Linked DNA regions of Saccharomyces cerevisiae S288C. The protein of the gene in region 2 interacts with the protein of the main gene of each other region in a pairwise test. Each region holds a gene or a part of one and is shown on either strand. Other genes may lie near its edges. The genes, in order: RIE1 and SGN1.

Region 1 (4,834 bases), on a different chromosome or scaffold from region 2:
ATTGCCTGCTGTACTAGCTAGCTAAAGTAATTGTAGCAGTTGTTATTAAGGAGTTCTTTAAATCATATTGCTTGCTTGTATCAGACCATTGGAAACTTCAATGTTTAAACTCTAGAAAGGTTGATCTGCTCAAATATTTTCATATTTACGGCATGTCCTAACTTGAACATTTGTAGAAGAGAGACATATTTCTTAGTGTAGGCAAGATATTTGAATGACATTGTCTGCCGAAATATACTCGACTTGCAGTGGAACTGCAAGTCGAAAAGGATATCGCTTTAGCCAAACAAAAATTTGTTGTGCTATTCAGTGAGCATGCATTGGCTATAGAGGCCGCACCTAAATTGTATCTTTTGATTTATGTAACTGCCACACTTTCTCTAGCACAGTCATGATACGGCTTTTTTTCATTTAGCCACCAAATACTGTAAATATCGTTTTAGAACGTTATGAAAAAATGCTCATCCACTTAAAAACCTCTCCGTATTCTGAAAGTTGGTATAATCTTGCACTTTAAGTGTATATCTTTTTATGCAATCTTTTTGAATAATGAGTGTTTTTCAAAATTTTGACATTCATGTGAATTGTTTATCTATCCTTTGCATAGTAAAAAAATAGATGCAGAATTTACTCACCTCAAGGAGGGGCAAAGTAATAAGAAAAGTTACCATAGGCTAGTTGAATGTCCAAGATCGTAAAGAATGAAGAAAAAAGGAGTAAAAAGTATGAATAAGATAAATGAAAATATAAAAATAAAAACCAACTAATACATGAAGAAAAAAAAGCAGACAAAAACATTTTATGGACCTGATGCAATCTAGTAGTCCATAGAATAATCACCACTAGAAAATTCTTCCTCTTCATTACTACCGTTTGCCATTATAGGAATATGATTTGCTGCAGGATTCTGCGGAGGTATTATATAGGGCACTGGCGGCACCTGTGGAATAAACCCAAATGATGGGAACATTGGCATCATCCAGTTAGCGTTATTTTGGTTTGCACTTATTAAGTTGTAACTGTTCACGGGCTTTGTGTTGGTATTAGGGTACTGCAGTGGTATGAAATAATTTTCCCTCGAGACTTGCTGTTGCGATTGGTTCTGAGTCATCAAGGCATTGATAAATTTCTTATTATACTTTGTTGGATAAGCCTTATGATAATCATTATGTGGCTGAAAATTTTGGAACTTTGATGAGTTATCAGTTTGGGATTGATCATCATCATCACTTGAAGATAAATTACCACGTTTCTGAGCGAAAGAAACAGATAACACTTGATCTTTGCTCACTTGATACCCGTCTGTATTCAAAATTGCCTTAGCAGCATCTAATGGGCTTTCAAAAGAAACAAAACCATAACCTCTTGATGATCCCACTGGCAGATCATTATCTGATGAGCTATCATTCGATTGTTGACGATACTTGTTCTTACTACCCCCAACAGTAATGACCTTAACGCTGATTATTTCACCGAAAGATTTGTAGAAATCATATAAATCTTCATCTGTCCAAGAAAGAGGGATGTGCTTGACATATAGGTTTGATTCTTGCTGATTACTCATTGGTATAGGTAAGCTGTAAGAAGTTGATGGGTACTGGTACATGTCAAACTTGTTGCCCATGAATCTAGGCACACGTTGACCACGACCTTCACTGAAAGATTCCCTTTGAGGATAGAACAGATCCATTTTCTCTGCCACAGGGGTTGATCTTACAGAATCAAAATACCGTACATTGGAGGTATCGTTGCTGTTCCCGTTTTTATTATTGTTGAAGTAATATCTATCATATGTATAATTATTGTAATCATACATTGGGTTATTTGCAAATTCCAAAACCTCCATATCATTGTGGTTACTGATGGAAGGGTGCCTGTCATGGCTATTGTGGTTGTTGTAAACTTTATGTTGAACCGCCTTATTAACAACGAGCCTGTTTCCATGCCACATGAACCCATTGAAGGTCTCGATGGCTGCTAGTGCTTGTTCATGGTTGATAAGCTTGATGAAACCATAACCCTTCAACATATCTTCATCTTGGGCATTTCCATTAGTATTATTGGAAGATTTGTTTGATTCTACTGACCCCTCCTCATTGAAACTTACTGAACTACTGCTTCTTGTATTACTTCTCTTCGGAAAGTAATATGAAATGATATCAAAGTCCGGAAACTTTTTTGATAACTCCTTCTTGATTACTTCTATGACTTCTTTAGGTGTAATCAAAGTCTCTACTTTTTCAGGATTGTGATAAGGCAAGTTGCCTATAAAGAGACACCTGAAATTATCATCATTGTTGTTTTCTTTGACATGGTCCCAATGGATTCTTTCTCTCTCCTTTCGCTCAACGTGATAGTTGATAAATAGTGTGGAGCCATTTACCGTCCTTCCATTAAGTTCCTTGATGCAAAGTGAAGCTTGAGAACCCAAGGGGTAGGAGATGAACCCGTATCCGTTAGGTTCGCCTTTCGTTTTATCATATATCAATTTCATTGATAAAATTGGTCCATATTTTGAAAATAAGAAACTTAGTTCACCAATAGAAAGGCTCTTTGCTATTCCCCCGACAAAAATATTTCCAGGATAGGTTAGTGCATGCTTGTTCACACCGATAGACCATTTATCAATATGCTGACCAATAGGTTCGCTCTTGAGTAATTCCGAGATATCTGTACATGCATTTTCTAATGACTTGGGGTACTTGAATTGTGCTTGCAAAACGGTATCGTATCTCCAATCATCTTCCTCTTCGTTATCTTTGTAAGATTTCTCATACTCTTGACTTCCATGCTCGTAAAGATAGATGTCTTTATTTTGTTCGAGAACCTGTAACCTCCTTGTATCCGGAAGAAATTCATATGTTTCTGTATCAGAGTTGTTAACGGAGATACCTTTGTAGTGCTGTATTGTGTCCATTATTTGATCGGTTATTCTAGAGTTGCAGTGATCATCTTCTTCTTCTTGTAACTGCCATTTTATTCTTATGGTTAATAAATTTGTGTTGGCCAATTGTTCCAGTTGAAGACCAGTGGAAGTTTTCCTTTCAATTTTTATTGATTGGTCTCCAGCTTCTGCGCTCGCTGATGTCTGCTGGCTGCAGATATCTGTATCCTCGGGGCCACTAGATATTACTTCATCTGATGGTTCTTCTGCAATATTCATCCTCGAAACTTCTGATGCGGTTTGTCTTTCACGTATAATGTTTTTAGTAAAATAAAACTTATGGTTTATTTTTGGATTTTTAATCAGGGTGCCTTGTAATTTGGGATGTGTGCTATGCTTTACTTGTTCACACTTTTTTTGAGACCGTTGAACGAACTAAAATTAAGAACACTCTAATCCTTCGAACAAAAGGCACTTTTCAACTATTATTTACTTATTCAATATTTAAGGGAAGTTTCTTTATTGTGCTTGACATATATATATGTATTTATTTATATAGCGCAGTGGCCAAGAAAATGTTAACGTGAAATAACGACTAACGGGCAGGCGTTATGCACGGAAAGAGATCTACTAAATTCCGCCCAATAGGGAATCTCCGACTGAATTTTTTTGCCCTTTGGTCAACTATTCCCGGGAAGGGCATAAATTGAATCAAGCGCCAATTTTACGTCTTCGGCTAGTAATCGGATCAGCGGGAGAAACATCGTACGTACACAAGAGAATACCGAGAGTGTCGATTAATCAACCACGCTCCATGAGGCTTATCCGCATTCTACTTGCATGTTAGCCGGGAAAAGACATAAATCATCTCAATTCTCTAGAATACTCTAGAGATTATGTAAAAGCGTAGCCCCGTAGATGATTAAATAATTTTCGGTTTCTTACCCCGTAACCACGAGTTGCGGTGTTTTTGCTTCTATCGGGGCAATAAGCGGGCGCTGCTTCTCGGGAATGTAAAAACTGTGCTTCCTACCATGAAGTAGTTGGATCTTGAAATGGGTTGGGCCGGAACAATATGCAAGTACTACAATCCTTGTATTCCCATATGATTATATTCCCCTTTGCATAGGCTAGTGTTTTTTTTTTCGTTCTTTTGTTTCTTCCGCTAGGAATAGTAGTGGCGATCTGCAGAAAGACGCTCTAAGGAAAAAGAGAGAATTTCGATCAGTCCCGTACACATTACTCTTGGGAAGTTCAATTCCTTCGGACGTAATCCACATACGAACTTGGCTCTCATCTGTTGTCTTCAAGCTGTTGCGGCCCTCCTCTTTCTCTCTGTTGTACACATTTTTTGACTTTCAAAAATATGCCGCTAAGGAAACATAACCCTTGTGTATGTGAGCTTGTAGCATATGATATAGTGCTCATTGGCATGTGACAAGAATTGCGTATGTAATTGAAGTTTGTAGTGTAATTTACGAAAATAGCCGCCCTTCTTCTTCATTAACGATTATTGAGCGTAATGATATAAGATACAACGGTTTATTTAGGGCTGCATCCATGAAAATACTTTGTAATAGTGAGTCGTCGCCTTGTTTGTTTATTCAATACAATGCAGTGTCTCTATAGTCTCCTCCTTTAGTTTCACTATCTTTTCTAACCGCCGAAGATATACGAGTGTTCTGAACGAAAAACGACCTTTTCAAACATAGAATATAATTGTATATATACATATACATATATGATACGCAGCCACATTCGTAGTATCTTTAAGACACTGCCTTTCAAAAAAGCTTTGGTATTTTGAAAGAAGATCGAAGCCAAGGAACCAGGACTACAATGAATTAGACGCTACAAAGTTTCTTAATTGGAAAACAAGGAGGGACAAGGAGGAGACTTTTACAGTAAACCAGAATGCTCCTTCACTGTTCAGTTATGTAATGTTATTGT
Region 2 (3,532 bases):
AAAATATAATGACAATTATAATAAGAAGTATGATACTTTTTCTGTAAAAAATATATATACATATGATTCACGTGAAAATTTTTATATTTTTAATTAAATTTTTATAATATTATAAATTATTATAATATTGATATTTAAAATTAAAAACAAATTATTAATGGTTTTGTTTTCCGAAATGTTTTTTATAATTATTACTTCAGAATAGTTATTTTCACGAATACGAGATACAGGGTAATGAAAACAGGTGTTATCCAAAAAAAAAAATTGATATATTTTAGATACTTTACATACAGAGGCAAGCTTCAGCTGTAGCCAGGTACATAATATTCCCTATAAAGTGATCAATATTTTTTAACGAAAAATTAAAAAAAAAAATCCTTGAATAAAGGAATGAAAATATTGTAACAAGCGATGACATTTCTTTTTTTGATTGTAGTTGTGGCATTTTATATTTGCTTTTGCATTTACCCTATTCTTGAAGGTTTGGATAGACAAGCGAGATAACACCAGTTGTCCTTCAACTTATTCAAAGCAGCAGCTCACTTAATTATTATTAAGTATACACATGAAAGCCTTGTGTTTATTTCGAATCTTTTTCTTGGGTAGAACTTTTAACGTTGTCAGACGGCATGACAACAGGTTTTTGGGAAGTAGATCTAATATTTTTTGTAGAGTCTTTGGCACTGTTGAAGTGTTTTTTTTGGAAGGTTCTATTCTTGTTATTGTAAGGACTCCTATAATAATTGTTCTTATTATATCCGAAATTTTGATTTGGAGACTGATTTGGAGGGTACGGTGGGTAATAAGGGAAGGTATCGGGATTGGGGTAGGCCATTAAGGGATAATTCCATTGCCATTGTTGGAAATACTGGTTTTGCGAGTTGTAATGCCTATTAAATCCTGGAATGTTAGTTCTTTTTCTGGAGACAGCAATTTTTTTGCCTTTAAGTTCTCCTCCATTTAATTGCAGGGCTTTTTCTCTGTATGCCGGACTTTCAAATTCAATATAGCCGTAGCCTTTTGGTGTTCCCGTATTCCTATCATAAAGAAGTGTTATTCTTTTTATCTGGCCACAGTCTTTGAAATGATCTTCTATTTGCTCTGGGGTGACATCCGGAGTGATGTTACCGACAAAGATAGAACGCGAGTCAGCTTCAAGTTGATGAGCGTGTTTTTCCTCCTTGCTTAGCTTTTGCGACACCTGTGGAGTGCCCTCGATAGATAGTTTACCCACAAGTTCATCCAGCTCGAGCTCTTGCTTGTCGTTCTTTTTATTGTTCGAAATTTCAGTCTTTAAGGTTGCCTTAGCATCCACTTTCTCTTCCTGGGACATAACAGCAATTGCAAATGATGACACTATGTGACAGCAGATATATGTTTATGTTAATAGGCCTGGTTGGAGAGCGAAAGTTGAGATTACTTACTTAATCAAAATTAAATTTGAAATTTGCTGCATTTTAAGGTTACTTTTCGGAGTGTAGGAAATTGTTGCGGTTTTTTTTCACCTAACGAATGATTGATAATCTTTTTCATATCCTCCAAGAAACAAGCTGTTTATTATGGTGATTGCCACAAATTGAAGCGCTATGCTTAGTGCTTCATGACAGAAAGGTTTTGCATTGGTAGGCGTGGAAGATTACAGATTGTACTCGTCGTTGGCTCAATTTTTATATTTTGTTGCTTCAAAAACAGTGCCGTATCCTTAATGAATGAAAAATTCTAAAGAAAATAAGTTGATACTAAAAATATAATGTCCTTGAAGTATTTATGCGATATATAGAAAAATCTATAAATACTTAAATATTACAGCAGCGTTATTTTTGTATAGACGCCGACGTATAAGAGTCTCCTATCAAAAATCAGAATCTGAGCCCAGTATGTCATCTAATTCTGCGTTCGATAAGGTAAAAGATTGGGATGAATCATGGTTGACACTGTTGTTATCGACTTGACTTTTATCGTTAACTTTTACAAATTTTTTTTCGTCTCGTAACATGCCTCTCGCCAAACATTTAGTATAGTTCATATCAATTGTCCTCTTCTTATTATCATTACTCTCGTCGTTAAATAACGTAATGATTTTTGAAACTTTGTGACAATGCGGAACTTTTACCCCTTTGGTGTATTGTACAAAATTGGGCTCCACATCGAAGGAAACACCTTCTGGGATATAGCGGTTTCTGAAAAAATTCCAATCGTCCAAACTCAATACCATGTTATTCTTGTCAACAGTACAGCTCTTTTCTTTTTCAAGGTTGTGTTGATTTCCTCGGATGTCTTTCACATTTTTCTCGATTTTAGTTGGAAGACCACAATCATTCACAAATAAAGCCATATTAGGGCGTTCAAAATTATGAAGTGGCTTGAGTGTGGTAAGACTTTCGCCAGTGCGAATAATGGCAGTTTCCAAATCTTTTTGGCATCCATTCTGCCCTTCCGCAATGAAAACATTATTATCATCACTGACTTCTTCATCTTCAGTTTCTAATGAGGAGGAAGCTTCCTCGGTTGAATCATTCTCCAGATTATCCAAAGCTTTAAAAATCTTCCGCTTCTTACTTGGGTTTTCATTACTCGTTACTAGTTGTTTCCCGCCACTTTCATTCACCAAGAACTTATTAATTAAAGTGCTTGCACTAACAATACTGGTCTCAACATTATCAGGCATAAAGAACTTCTTCGGTTTTTTATTTTCCTGAACTCTCTTCTTCTTTGTTATGGCTTTTTTTGGCTTCACCTTTTTGCCCATCATACACTGAGTCGCATAACGAATAACTTCGTCAACATCTTCCATTTCATTAATTATTTCGTTTTCATCATTAATCGTGATCAATGTCTCGTGACATTCCGGAATAATGTCTTCAGGGATTATCCGATCTGATTTTTTATAGTCAATGCATTGCTTGGATATAAGCGCTTGCAGGGTTGAATAGTCTTCCATAGCACGCTCGAATTTGTATGATTCATTACTGCTAAACAGTAGTACTATCTTACCATCTCGTTTTCTGCCTGTTCTACCCATACGCTGAATATTTTTGATTGGACTACTTGTAGTATCATAACAGATTATTAAATCAACTTCTCCGATATCCAAACCTTCTTCTCCAATTGATGTACAAACGAGAACATTATATTCACCCTTTTTGAAATTATGGATAACCTCTTTTTGCATTTTTTGGTTCATTCCGCTAATCTGAGCCTCTTCAGAGCTCCCCGTTCGTCTGGCACTTCTTTCAAGTTTATCATTCGCCGCTCTCTTAGTTCGTTCAGCTTCCAAAAATTTCTCTTGCTCTTGCCTATGCAATCTCTCTACCTTCTTCCTTCCCTTTGGCGCATGTTTTCTTGTGTATTTGACCTCATCAAAACCTTCTTTTGCACGAGCTTGTCCAATAAAAATATGAGGCCTGATTTGATCGTCAGCTACCGAGTCTATGAACTTCACAATTTCAAGTGCGCTTTCTCTTAATTCTGTAAAAATAATAACCCTCGAGTCGGAACCCCTTTTCTGAAAAAAGTCCATTAGTTCATCTCT

What was found.
Region 1: the proteins of SGN1 (region 2) and RIE1 interact in binary tests that used the Saccharomyces cerevisiae proteins (3 or more experiments, as listed by UniProt).

The regions. Positions count from the first base shown.
Region 1 is NC_001139.9:990,359-995,192, forward strand, and holds RIE1 (Rie1p), read right to left. Parts: upstream 3,164-4,834; coding exon 818-3,163; downstream 1-817.
Region 2 is NC_001141.2:355,563-359,094, forward strand, and holds SGN1 (Sgn1p), read right to left. Parts: upstream 1,334-3,532; coding exon 581-1,333; downstream 1-580. Other genes in the region: MPH1 (3'-5' DNA helicase), read right to left, coding at 1,853-3,532.